Linked DNA regions of Saccharomyces cerevisiae S288C. Each later gene encodes a partner of the first gene's protein in a complex. Each region holds a gene or a part of one and is shown on either strand. Other genes may lie near its edges.

What was found. Proteins that work in one complex are often made in the same cells at the same time.
Region 2: BIR1 (region 1) and SLI15 share a complex: the UniProt entries of both Saccharomyces cerevisiae proteins name them as parts of the CPC complex.
Region 3: BIR1 (region 1) and IPL1 share a complex: the UniProt entries of both Saccharomyces cerevisiae proteins name them as parts of the CPC complex.

What each region holds. Positions count from the first base shown.
Region 1 is NC_001142.9:585,728-591,137, forward strand, and holds BIR1 (survivin), read left to right. Parts: upstream 1-1,990; coding exon 1,991-4,855; downstream 4,856-5,410. Other genes in the region: STE18 (Ste18p), read left to right, coding at 341-673; EMC2 (Emc2p), read right to left, coding at 768-1,646; SCF ubiquitin ligase complex subunit GRR1, read right to left, coding at 5,145-5,410. UniProt on the Saccharomyces cerevisiae protein: Component of the chromosomal passenger complex (CPC), a complex that acts as a key regulator of chromosome segregation and cytokinesis.
Region 2 is NC_001134.8:550,604-555,146, forward strand, and holds SLI15 (Sli15p), read right to left. Parts: upstream 2,598-4,543; coding exon 501-2,597; downstream 1-500. Other genes in the region: HSP70/90 family co-chaperone CNS1, read left to right, coding at 1-325; ICS2 (Ics2p), read right to left, coding at 2,940-3,707. UniProt on the Saccharomyces cerevisiae protein: Component of the chromosomal passenger complex (CPC), a complex that acts as a key regulator of mitosis. Stimulates IPL1 kinase activity and facilitates its association with the mitotic spindle.
Region 3 is NC_001148.4:155,990-159,587, forward strand, and holds IPL1 (aurora kinase), read right to left. Parts: upstream 1,605-3,598; coding exon 501-1,604; downstream 1-500. Other genes in the region: signal recognition particle subunit SRP72, read right to left, coding at 1-223; RKM1 (protein-lysine N-methyltransferase), read left to right, coding at 1,853-3,598. UniProt on the Saccharomyces cerevisiae protein: Component of the chromosomal passenger complex (CPC), a complex that acts as a key regulator of chromosome segregation and cytokinesis.

The DNA of each region.
Region 1 (5,410 bases):
CAGCCATCGTACAATTTTGGAACGAGTATAAAGAGAGAAATTAAAAACGACAAGAAATATTCGTACTAGCTTCTCTTCCGGCTTGATGACAGTCTTAATATCATCTGCAACTCTTGAAATCTTGCTTTATAGTCAAAATTTACGTACGCTTTTCACTATATAATATGATTTGTCAATGTGATGAGTGAATGTCTCCCTGTTACCCGGTTTTCATGTTGATTTTTGTTTCAGGCTCTAAATGTTTGATGCAATATTTAACAAGGAGAACAGAAATGTTTTGTGACAGCACCTGTCAATTTTAGGATAGTAGCAATCGCAAACGTTCTCAATAATTCTAAGAATGACATCAGTTCAAAACTCTCCACGCTTACAACAACCTCAGGAACAGCAACAGCAACAGCAACAGCTTTCCTTAAAGATAAAACAATTGAAGTTAAAAAGAATCAACGAACTTAACAATAAACTGAGGAAAGAACTCAGCCGTGAAAGAATTACTGCTTCAAATGCATGTCTTACAATAATAAACTATACCTCGAATACAAAAGATTATACATTACCAGAACTATGGGGCTACCCCGTAGCAGGATCAAATCATTTTATAGAGGGTTTGAAAAATGCTCAAAAAAATAGCCAAATGTCAAACTCAAATAGTGTTTGTTGTACGCTTATGTAATGATAGTAATAGAATCCAAAAAAAAAAAAAATATACATGCTTTTTCATATCCTCTCTCACCCTATCTTTTTTTTTCTTCTAATTTTGGCTCCGTTCATATCTTATTCAAAATTAATTCAGCGGTAATCTTATCTTTATTGTTAGACTTCGCAGAAATTTCCTTTAGCTTCGATGCAGATAGTTTGATCAAGTCATTTTGTTTATTACGTCCCAGTTCGCGAGAAATGATGTTAACCAATGCCCACCCTTTTAGGTATAGTTCGCTAAGTTCAACGCTCCTCAAAGCATTCTTTAATGCCTTTTCCAAGAGCTCGGTCTTGGTTTGTTTCTTGCTACGTAGAGCCTCATAATACAGAGTCTCACTTAGCCTACCAAAACAAGCGTAATTGAATGGTGTAATACATAGGACCTGTTCCAAACAATAACAGGCTTTTTCAAATTGGCCCATTTCGAAATAAATCTCGCTGGCATACCACCACAATTCTGCATCAAGCGGGAATTTATCTGTAAGAGCTACCACTTCTTTAAGAACACTTTCTTGGCTCAAGTTCTTGGAAGTTGTCTTGATAGCTATCAATTTCTTTGCAATAGAGACATAAGTAACGAAGTCCGTTTCATACTCCAGATCATCATTCAACAAATTTTCCAGATATTCAATAGCGCCTTTATCATTTCCGTTTATCTGCAATAAAGTGGCTTTCATGATTACCATTTTATACGAATTTTCACCAAGACGATCTCTTAATGTATTATAAACAACTTGCGCATCAACGTCTTGGTTTCGGTACACCAAAACATAGAAAAGCATTTCCATCAAGAAGAAATAGTTTCCTTCTGTTAGTGCAGAGTCTCCGCTTTTCATGTAAATTTTCATTTCATTTTCTAGTTGCAGTAATTGTTCTGGATTAAATTGAGTATACGCTTTGGTATTCATAATTGTCAAAAGCTTTTCTCTAACCAAATCCTTCAACATTGTTTTATCTACTGCTTTCTATAATTTTCTCCGTTCCAATGCGATCCAATGCCTTTCATTCATACATAGTTATTTATTTCATTAACGATCCAAATCTCTTTACTTAACTTCACTAGTCAACGCTTCTAACACATCACGCGATACGAAGATTAACAGTTTAGTATAATATTGCAATACATACCCATTTCACACATCGGTCAAGGTCATCAAGCACTTTTAGTTATAGTGTGTCCTATAGTTCTTTCAGATTGATTGAGGTTTCATATTAGTGTTGAAAGCCTAGCTAAAGTTCTCTGGGCGTGCAACATTCGAGGACACATCGGTTGTTTATACCTCATGGGATTATGGATGGTCAAATAGATAAAATGGAGAAGCGATATAGCATGACCAAACTGGAGAATAGGTTAAGGACTTTCCAAGATGGTGTTGCACTTGAAAAAAAAAAGTTAAAGTGGAGTTTTAAAGTTATTCCGTATCAGGCAATGGCCAAGCTTGGATTTTACTTTGATCCAGTGATCGATCCTAAGACATCTAAACTGAAAAAAGACTCTGTAAGATGTTGCTATTGTCATCGTCAAACATACAATGTGAGAGACTGCAGATCCAAAAGAAAAGATGTTCTTGAGACTCTAAGCAATATAATGAGGCAACATCTGACTGTTACTGATAACAAACAAGTTTGCCTCCTTATTTACTTGCGCAATAAGCTATTGACGGACTATAGCTTCCATATGGGGGTTTCGGACTGGAAAAATGACAAGTACTTCAGCAATCCAGATGATGAAAACGTGATAAACCTAAGAAAATTTACTTTTCAAGATAACTGGCCTCACAGTGGTTCTCAAAATGAACATCCGCTGGGTATAGAAAAGATGGTGAATGCAGGACTCATGCGATACGACTCCAGCATAGAAGGCTTAGGCGATCCAAGCATGGATAAAACACTTATGAACGATACCTGTTATTGTATTTATTGCAAACAGTTGTTACAAGGTTGGTCAATAAATGACGATCCGATGAGCCGACATTATAAGGTTTCTCAAAATGGGAACTGTTATTTCTTTCAGACACGTAATCGATTTGAGAGAATAAAAAATGACAATGACAGTATCACGAAAAATTGCGAAGTCTCTCCAACTTTAGGCGAAAATGGGAAAAGAGAAGTGATCAACACGAAAACCGCTTCTCAAAGGCAGTGTCCTTTATTTGAGTCACCTCCATCTAGTACTGGTCCTCAACTTGACGATTATAATGAGAAGACAGATATATCTGTTATTCAACATAATATAAGTGTGCTTGATGGAGCACAAGGCGAAAATGTAAAACGTAATAGTGTGGAAGAAAAAGAACAAATCAACATGGAAAATGGAAGCACTACATTAGAAGAGGGCAATATAAATCGTGATGTTTTAGCAGATAAGAAAGAAGTTATTTCGACACCAACTGCAAAAGAAATCAAACGTCCAAATGTCCAGCTAACCCAATCATCGTCACCTATAAAAAAGAAAAGAAAGTTTAAGAGAATATCGCCTAGAAAAATCTTTGATGAGGAAGATAGCGAACACTCCCTTAATAATAATTCTGCCAACGGAGACAACAAAGATAAGGATTTGGTTATAGATTTTACAAGCCATATCATAAAAAATAGAGATGTAGGGAGAAAGAATGCTATTTTAGATGACAGCACAGATGAATTCAGTTTCAGTAACCAAGGACATAACACATTTGACATACCTATACCAACCTCATCACATTTGCTCAAAGGTATAGATTCAGATAATGACAATGTTATACGAGAAGATGATACTGGCATAAATACAGACACAAAAGGAGCGTCTTCTAAACACGAAAAATTTTCTGTTAATTCTGAAGAAGATTTAAATTTCAGTGAAGTGAAACTCACAGGTAGAGACAGTAGTACTAATATTCTTATAAGAACGCAAATTGTAGATCAGAATTTGGGTGATATCGACAGAGATAAGGTCCCCAATGGTGGATCCCCAGAAGTTCCAAAGACACATGAGTTAATTAGAGATAACTCTGAAAAGAGGGAAGCACAAAACGGGGAATTTCGACATCAAAAAGATTCAACTGTACGGCAATCTCCAGATATATTACATTCTAATAAAAGTGGTGATAATTCCAGTAATATTACCGCAATACCCAAAGAGGAACAAAGGAGAGGCAATAGCAAAACATCCAGCATTCCCGCTGATATTCATCCTAAACCAAGGAAAAACTTGCAAGAACCAAGAAGCCTATCAATAAGTGGAAAAGTTGTTCCAACAGAAAGAAAATTAGATAACATCAATATAGATCTAAATTTTTCGGCGTCCGATTTTTCACCATCATCACAATCTGAGCAATCATCAAAAAGCTCAAGCGTTATTTCAACGCCGGTAGCGAGCCCTAAAATTAATCTCACACGCAGTTTGCATGCAGTCAAAGAGCTTTCTGGCCTCAAAAAAGAAACTGACGATGGTAAGTATTTTACTAATAAGCAGGAAACTATAAAAATACTGGAAGATGTGTCTGTGAAGAATGAGACCCCAAATAATGAAATGTTACTTTTTGAGACTGGAACCCCGATCGCATCTCAAGAAAACAAGTCAAGAAAATTATTTGATGAAGAGTTTTCTGGGAAGGAATTGGATATACCTATAGATTCATCAACTGTAGAAATAAAAAAGGTTATTAAACCCGAATTTGAGCCAGTCCCATCAGTTGCAAGGAATTTGGTGTCTGGAACCTCTTCATATCCACGGAATTCACGTTTAGAAGAACAAAGAAAGGAAACAAGCACAAGTTTGGCTGATAATTCTAAGAAAGGAAGTTCATTTAATGAGGGCAACAACGAAAAAGAACCGAATGCAGCAGAATGGTTTAAAATTGATGAAAATAGACACCTTGTAAAAAATTACTTCCATGATTTGTTAAAATATATAAATAATAATGATGCTACGCTAGCTAATGACAAAGACGGTGATCTGGCTTTTTTGATTAAGCAAATGCCTGCAGAAGAGTTGGACATGACATTCAACAATTGGGTGAACCTAAAAGTGCAATCTATTAAGCGCGAATTTATAGATGACTGTGATAAGAAATTGGACATATTGAGAAGGGATTACTATACTGCCACAAATTTTATTGAAACTTTGGAAGATGACAATCAATTGATCGATATTGCTAAGAAAATGGGCATTTTATAGCTAACTAATTTGATAAACAGGCTAAAGGTTTGTATTTTTTGTAGTTTTGAAACTGTGTATAGAATGTTTCGCCGCATCGCAGATATCTGCAGGGAACTGTTGACATAGCATCTTCTGTGGACGTGACAACGTTACGTATATTCGTTGATACCGCAAGTCTATAGCGTATACATGCTAAGGCAAAAAGTTTCAAAGTGAATGCATTATGTATTTATATGTAAATAAGTAAGAAAAGTGGGATTTTGAAAATAAAGGTGTAGTAGGACAGTAAGTATTCAATGAAATACAATTATAACATATCTTCATCGGGCGTTCCTGATGCTTCATCCATTTGAGAATCAATGGCAGTGTCAGGCATTGATTCGTCAATTGTGTTGTTGTTATTGTTCCTAACCATGTTCTGATTACGAAGTCCCATTTGGAGATTCCTCATCTGGTCAGGTGATATTTGCATTCTATTGCCAAACTGACGCCAGAAATTTGGATTTTCTGTTTCATTGTCATCATTACCATTGTTAGTTTCATTGTTACTTGTATCGTTTGCCCCAGCATCCG
Region 2 (4,543 bases), on another chromosome or scaffold:
ATTTGATTTTGTAGGTGAAGTAAGTGAGTTAACTACTGTGCAAGAACTTGTTGACCTAGTTTTGGAAGGGCCGCAAGAACGCTTCAAAAAAGAAGGTAAGGAAAACTTCACACCAAAGAAAGTGTTGGTGTTCATGGAAACAAAGGCAGGTGGTTTGATTAAAGCTGGTAAGAAACTGACATTTCACGATATCTTGAAGAAAGAGTCGCCAGATGTACCATTGTTCGATAACGCTTTGAAAATATATATTGTGCCAAAGGTAGAAAGTGAAGGGTGGATTTCCAAGTGGGATAAGCAAAAAGCCTTAGAAAGAAGATCTGTGTGAAGTGTCAAATAGTTAAAAATATGTAACGCAAAGTTGTAGATAGAAATAACAAAGCAAGAAGGAAAAGTAAAGAAAGTGAACGATATACGTAATGCAGGGGGAATACCAGAGTATTTAAAGTGTACTTGATTTAATGTTAACCAGTTTGAATTTTTCTTTTCTGGGGTAATCGAATTCAAGACCTTTTGGGCACAATTTGACGCGGTTTCAACCTGTTTAGCCTAGGATTTGGGAAAATTTCATCGGTGTGCAAAGGCGGAATTGGTCCAAAGATAGTTTGTGGATTTATATCTTGCTGTCTTATCAATTGCTCTTGCAAATACGGGGATTTAGCCCATGCCGCTAAAGTTACGCTAGCCTCATCTTCAGAATCAGTATTTATCTCTGGTAAAGAATCATTGACAGAGGCTATCTTTGGGGTCACATTTCCGATTATTTCTCGATGGTCAACTGTATTTATTGTGGCCAATATATTGTCGGTACTAAATGCAGTATTTTTGTTGATGGTATCTCGCACATGATTATCGAAAGGAGCCAAAGATTCTTTTAGACGTATGTCCTTGTAGTCATTACTAAAGCTTGTTTGCTTTTTTAGATCTTGTTCCAAATGCGACATCCTTTTTTGTTTCTCTTGTTTACGCCGATGATGTTCCTGTTGAGACCTCATAATTCCTGATAACCTTTTATCAAACTTTTTTTTTAAGTCATCTCGTTCTGCCTCTGCTGGTGGAAGTAATTGAAGGTTTGTAAGCCGATAATTTTTGGATTTACGAGACTCTGGCTTGGAGATGTCAGCAATATTCGGAGAAAGTTTTCTTAATGTTTTCTCTTTAATTTTCAAACGATGTGGCGTTTGCGACGTTGTTAAATTTTTATTTTTATTAGGCGAAATAGACGCTTTTGTTGGTCTCAAATAACCTCTTACAGGGCTTTGGTAATAATTTTTAACTTCTTTAGATGGCGAGCTTGAATCGACACTTATTTTTGTTGGAGAAATACTGTGCGGTCTTGAACCAGTTTTATGAACATCACTAGAGTGTTTGGACTTCTTTTTCTGTTCTGCAATGATTGCTAGCTTTTTGTGTGTCGTTAGCTTCAAAGAAGTCTTATCAAACCTCGGAATAGAGGATTTTCGAGAGTTTTTTCCTTTGGGTGAATTATTTTTGGTTATTTTATTTTTTACTGAGAATATATCTCTTAACGCTTCTTGCATATCAGTATCCGTGGAGTTTATTGACTTAAACTTTTGAGAAACTTTTTTCATGGGGGAGCCTGTTAAATCGATTGATGAAGAGGAGTATTTGTGACCAACGTTTCCACGGGAAATTTTGTTTTCAAATGATTTTGTTGGAATAGATGATAGCCTATCGAAAACACTGGATGCTTTTGTAGATCCCGCGGTATCACTGTTTTCCACAGCTCTTATAGCAGGACTATTTATCGTAGATTTTTTTTTAAATGCGATTGGTGATTCCTTTACTGTTCGTACTTTTGGTATTGATCCTGAAGATTTTGTTGGTGGAATGTGTTGAATAATAAGAGGATCTTTATTCGGCAGTGGAACAAACATATTCGACCTTCTTTGAGATCTCGCTATCCCAGAATTCGGTGGTGGTTTCACCTTTACTGATTCAGCTTTCTTTAAAGCTTGAAGTATAGGTTCATTCTCCATTTCTTCCTTAGCCGCCCATGTTTGATTATCGAAGCGTTTTGTATTAATCGGAGACTCCGAAGTCTTGGAGGATTCTCTTAGAACCTTTTCAACTTTGTAAGGTGACCATGGTGAGGATTTTTCGCTTTCATTGGCGTCGACTTTAACGCTATTCAATGGCTCAACCGGGCTTTTATTGGTATCATGTATACTAAATCTATTCATTCCTTCGGTGACTTCCTTCCTGCGGAGTGATTTAGGCGTGATACTTTTATCGTTATGTAATCCATTTCTGGGTGTCTTAGTAACGTCTTTTGCGGCATCATTCTGGGAGTTAGAAAGTTCATATTCTCCTTTCATTTTAGGAAATTCGACATCCATTTTGTTATGCGTATTTTCGGGGCTAATTAAAGACTCTTCCATCTTTTTGTCTTCATACTTGAGTGTATTCATATAAACATTATTTCTTAACCATTCACTACTTTCGTACAATCGTTGATTTATTTCTGAATGTGCATCTGTTGTTAGATTATTTAGATCATCGAGGGTTTCTATGATTGAACGGGTAGAGCCTGGCTTCCTTTGAGTTTTCTTCCTAGCTGCTTTGATTGCCCAGTCCATTGTTTAAATCTTCGGGCTCTTTCAAAGTCCGTCAGTTGAGGAGATACTTTGAAACGTTTTGTTTGTATCATTGGCAATACTTGAAACGAGTTTTTGTTTGTTTTCTTTTTTTAGTTAATTCGCGAAATTTAAAATATGAAGATCGGTTTCAGAACAGAATGGATCAGGCTTTTCCGCGTATAAGAAATAATAACACTGACATAACGCTATAACGAAACAGCGTAACAAAATACTCTTTACATGGTTTATTTTTATATATTCATTTAACATTATCAAAACTAACATTAAGTCCTTTATTTATCAAAACAAACGAAAAAAAAAAATGCGAGACAAATGATCCAGTCATTTATTGTCAATATCTAAGTCAATTAGTGGTTGCAATATGTCTCCAGTTTCCACTTTATGAGCAAAAATTTTGCCCTCAATATTTATCTGATTTTTTTCAGCGAATTCTTTCAAACTCCCGAATCTACCGCTTGCGTTTCTTCTTAATTGTTCATTGGTATTCATGATTGTGTTTTTCGGGGACATTTGGTGGGTATATGAAGTATCCGGTGAAGAATGATATTCTTTGTCCAAGAAAGAACTTGCCAATGAAGTTTTTCTTGAATTGACGCCTATGCTTGAATTAGAATCGTACCCGTCAATGAAATTTGGCTTACAAGACCTGCTGAATGAGATTGCATGACTTTTTCTGTGGTAACTTTTCCTTCGCCCTGAAGGCTTTGTAAGTTCGTGTGATAATGAACGTGAATGCGAATGTGATGATAATTCATTACTTTCTACCCTTAAAGGTGATACCGCATTAGGCTTTCTTGGACATATGGAGGAATTTCTCCTCGTTTTCACACCATCCTTGTCTCCAGGGAAAGAGTAGGTCTTCAGCTTGTTGAACAGAGCTTCGCCTTGAGACTCTTCAAAATAAAAGCTCTTTTCGTACTCATGGGGTTGTTTGCTGCTATCGAACTGAGATTCTGTTGAAGAGAGAGAGCTGAAACGTCCATAGAGTGGGCTGCCAAGTGATTTAATGGATGTACTAGATTGACTGCCCGTAGTAGGAAAACTAAATGTGCTTATTCTTTCTCTTTCTTTTTGCTCAAATTTGCCCATATCTTGCTGGAAAGGGAAACTTCAGTGAAGTAATAACGAAGGTGGTGTAGAGTATAAATTTTTATTAAGTATGCGCTTTGACGTTCACATATTTGTAAAAGATTTATTTGAGAAGATAGAATGGGTCTCATTTATTTATACTTAAATGCTTCTTTGGATGTCAAGCTTTCTTGATGCCGGACTTGCAGTCGAAGGGCTCTTTCCCAACAGATATGTAACCAAATGCGTCGAATAGAAAAAGAAAGTCTTCCAAGGAAAGTTTATTACGAGGGGTTTTGTGCATTAACGTGGCATATAATTAGGTATAAACTCAAGGTTGGCTTAAGATTAGCGAAACAAAAGTATAAACGACCCAAAATTGGAGTGGATGTGTTCTTTAACACATAAACTGTCGTACAAAAAAAAAAGAAACAAAGAGCAGTTGAAAGAACATCAAGATCATAAGGACCCCCATATCGTGATAATCATTGATGACCAAATCGTGAACTCCCTGCGCCTATGCCGTGCCATAGCAAATAAAGTACTGGGCTGGATTGTTAATGACTTGCATATTAACGACAGGTAAACGGTACCCTATTTTTCTTTTTTACGTGCTACGGACGAAAAGTGAGGGTGATTAACGCTTCAAATAAGAAACGACGGCTAGCAGGGTCTAGATGCGTGAGATGAGATAAGGAAAAGAGCTCTGTGTCCCAGGTAATAATCCCTGGAGAGATATAATCTTCCCTACAACTTGATTGCATATTAACGCTCCCAAGTTGTGGCCATTGAAGAGCTCTACAGCAATGTCCCGACGAACGGAAATAACCCTCTTTTTCATGATATTTTCGGAGTTA
Region 3 (3,598 bases), on another chromosome or scaffold:
CGTACTTGTCATCTATATGTTTGAATTTTTTTAAATAATGTAAAGCCTTTTGATACTTGTCCTGTTGGATAACAGCTACTAAGCAACGTCTAAATACATCCGCTGGATTCTCACATCCAGAATCCAATAGTTTCACGCAAGTCTGTTCGACCTGCGAATGCTCGTCTTGAGACAATTGAATGTTCAATTGAGAGAGCAAATTAGTTAAATTATCTTTAGCCATTTTTTTGCTTTCTTTCATTACTCTTATTATTGATCAGAACCAACTCAACAAAGTAAATCTGCTACTTTAATGCATAGCAATTTTCAGCTTGTTTTCCTCTTTTCTTTCGACAAAGGCGAAAGAAAAGAGGAAAAAATGAACAAGAAAATTTAATCAAATATCGCAATATACGATGCCGAAAAGAGTAATGAAATATTAGAAATGGATACTTAGTATTATGTGATATGTGCGGGAGTGATTAATAGTGCCCTTCAAACGATTCTGTCATACTTTAATTCTATAACCGCTTATTTTCCCAAAAGGGCTTGTTTCTTAGTATCCAAGGATGCATTTTTACGTCTCCAAGGCGCATTCTATCTTTGGGGTCGTATTTTAGTAGTTTAAGTATTAAATCTTGCGCATCCTGAGAAATGTTACTGGGCATTTTGATATCCAGTGCTGCTATCCTTTTATATGTAGTATCTTTCATTTCTTCTTCGAACGGAGGGGCACCGGTCAGTAGTTCAAACGCCAGGACGCCAAGAGCCCATGCATCTATAGTGTGATCATATTCCCTTGACTCCACCATTTCTGGAGAAAGGTAGTCAATTGTCCCACAGACAGTTTTCCTTCTATTTTCTGGCGGATTTATTATACTCCATCCGAAGTCCGTTAACTTAATGACATTATTGAACCCTATTAGTATATTTTCAGGTTTAATATCTCTATGAATAATATTCTTTTTATGCATATAATCTAGGGCATTGGCAATTTGATAAATATAATCTGATGCTAAAATATCGTTGAAGGGTCCGTGTAACCTCAATAGTTTATACATTTCCCCATTGACTAAGTATTCCATTAGCAGGTACACTCTTTTTTCATCATGAAAATAGCCGTATGATTTAGTTAGATTCGGATGATTTAGCGATGTTTGTATTTCTACCTCCCTTCTGAATTGTTTCTGTAAATTATACTTTATTATTTCTTCCTTCTCCATTACTTTCAGTGCGCAAATATATCCTGTACTCCTGTGCCGAACGCAATAAACTTTACCGAATTTACCCTTTCCTAATTTCTTCCCCAGTTCAAAGTCATCGAGTGATAGGGATTTAAATTTAGGTAGCTTCTTATTTTCGTGTATCATTTTGGAAGAAGTCGCTTTCCTTATAGGTGATGGAATTTTGGAGCTTTCCATATCCAAAAACTTCTTATTGTTTACAGGTAATCTGTTCAATTTTTCTCTTACAGGTGAAGGTATTTTTGAATTCGGGTTTCTTTGCTGCGGCGAATGGGATATTCTCCATGGTTTATTGATCCTGGACGTATTTGGTCTTGTTGTGGTCTTTTTCGATGGCGAATTAGCGTTTAGTTTGATATTTACTAAACTATTGCGTTGCATTCCCTTTTTACTTCTTTCTTTTGTTGTATTTCAAAATCCCAGTTTTTTTTGCGCTAAGAATGATCTTGCTTTGTTTATGCATTCACTTGAGCAATTGCATCAGTTGGCCTTAGCTCAAGGTTTTTATAGAATGGTAAACAAATTAAGCGCTTTACAGGAAAAACGCGTGAAGTTAAACTTACTGTTCAATAAGCAATGCTGTATCGGAAAATGGAGCACAAAGGTTATAGATACAAGAGAAGACTATCATGTCATCAGATGCGTTAAAAGCACTACTTCAGTGGGGTGCGTCATTTGGTGTAATAGTGCCAGAGGAACTCAAGTTTTTATATACCGATCTTAAGGGCATTATTTGCGTATGTGAAAAAGATATAGACAATCCCAGCATCAAGATTCCTCCCGAGATTGTCATTTCAAGGAATCTGCCCATGAAGTTTTTTGGGCTAAGTGAATCCACTAAGAATATCAACGGATGGCTGAAGTTGTTCTTCGCAAAAATAAAATTTGATAGGGATAATGATACTATCGTGGACAATGTTCGTGTGAATGATAAATTTAAACCTTACTTGGATGCATTGCCTTCCCGCCTAAATTCGCCCTTGGTCTGGAACCCAAGCGAGTTGAAGCGTTTATCATCTACAAACATAGGGAATTCGATTCATGAAAAGTTCGAAGGTATATTTAAAGAGTGGTTTGAACTGGTCAGTTCTTCAGATATGTTTGACTTGGAAAGAGTGGCAGATGATGTGCAGACCTTCCATAATCTCGATGAGTTGACATATGAGGCTTTGTATGAGAAGATTTTGAAGATAACAGAACTTCAAAGACCAACTATCTGGTATTCTTTTCCTGCATTTTTATGGTCGCACCTTATATTCATTTCAAGAGCATTCCCTGAATATGTGCTAAACAGAAACTGTCCTGACAACTCTATTGTACTGCTTCCCATCGTCGATCTTCTAAATCATGACTACCGTTCCAAAGTCAAATGGTATCCTGAAAATGGGTGGTTCTGTTATGAAAAAATCGGTACCGCCTCCCAATCACGAGAACTATCAAATAATTATGGCGGTAAGGGAAATGAGGAGTTACTCTCTGGATATGGATTTGTTTTAGAAGACAACATATTTGACTCAGTGGCTTTGAAAGTTAAATTGCCATTAGATGTGGTATCTACAATTCTTGAAACAGAACCTAGTTTGAAGCTGCCCTTACTTTCGGATTACACCACTTATGCTTTTGAAAACAAAGACTGTGTCCAGCAAGAAAAGAAGGCTACTCGTAGTGCTACAGACTACATCAATGGGGTGACTTACTTCATTAACATACAAAATGAACAATGTTTAGAACCATTACTGGATCTTTTTACCTACCTTTCTAAGGCCGAAGAGGAGGATCTACACGATTTGAGAGCCCGTTTGCAGGGTATACAAATGCTACGAAATGCATTGCAGAGCAAACTCAACAGCATTACTGGACCACCTGCAACTGATGACTCTTATGCAATTGATCCTTACAGAGTCTATTGTGCTGACGTTTATACTAAAGGTCAAAAACAAATTTTAAAAGAGGCTTTAACGAGGTTGAAAAAACTAGAAAAAACAATGCTGTCAGAGAACAAGCACCAATTGCTAACCATGAGCAAAATTCTTAAGAATGACCCTGCTTTTGCAGAAACTGAATTACCTTCGCTGTTCAGCAACGAAGATGGTGAAGAGGTCATCTTTGAATCTACTTATGATTTATTGATACTTTGGATTCTACTGAAAACGAAAAAGAATTCTTACCCCACCAAATATGAATGGGTTGGACAGCAGTATACTAATTTCAAGCAAACTGCATATATTTCAGATGATGCCAAGGCTTTCCATACTGCATACTTCGAGAAGCAAGACGATGTGGATTTGGCCGAAGTAGATCATGCGATTCAGTTTGTAGTAGACAATTCCTTTACCAGAACTTCATCTACAACCGAAGAGACTATTTTAGTACGT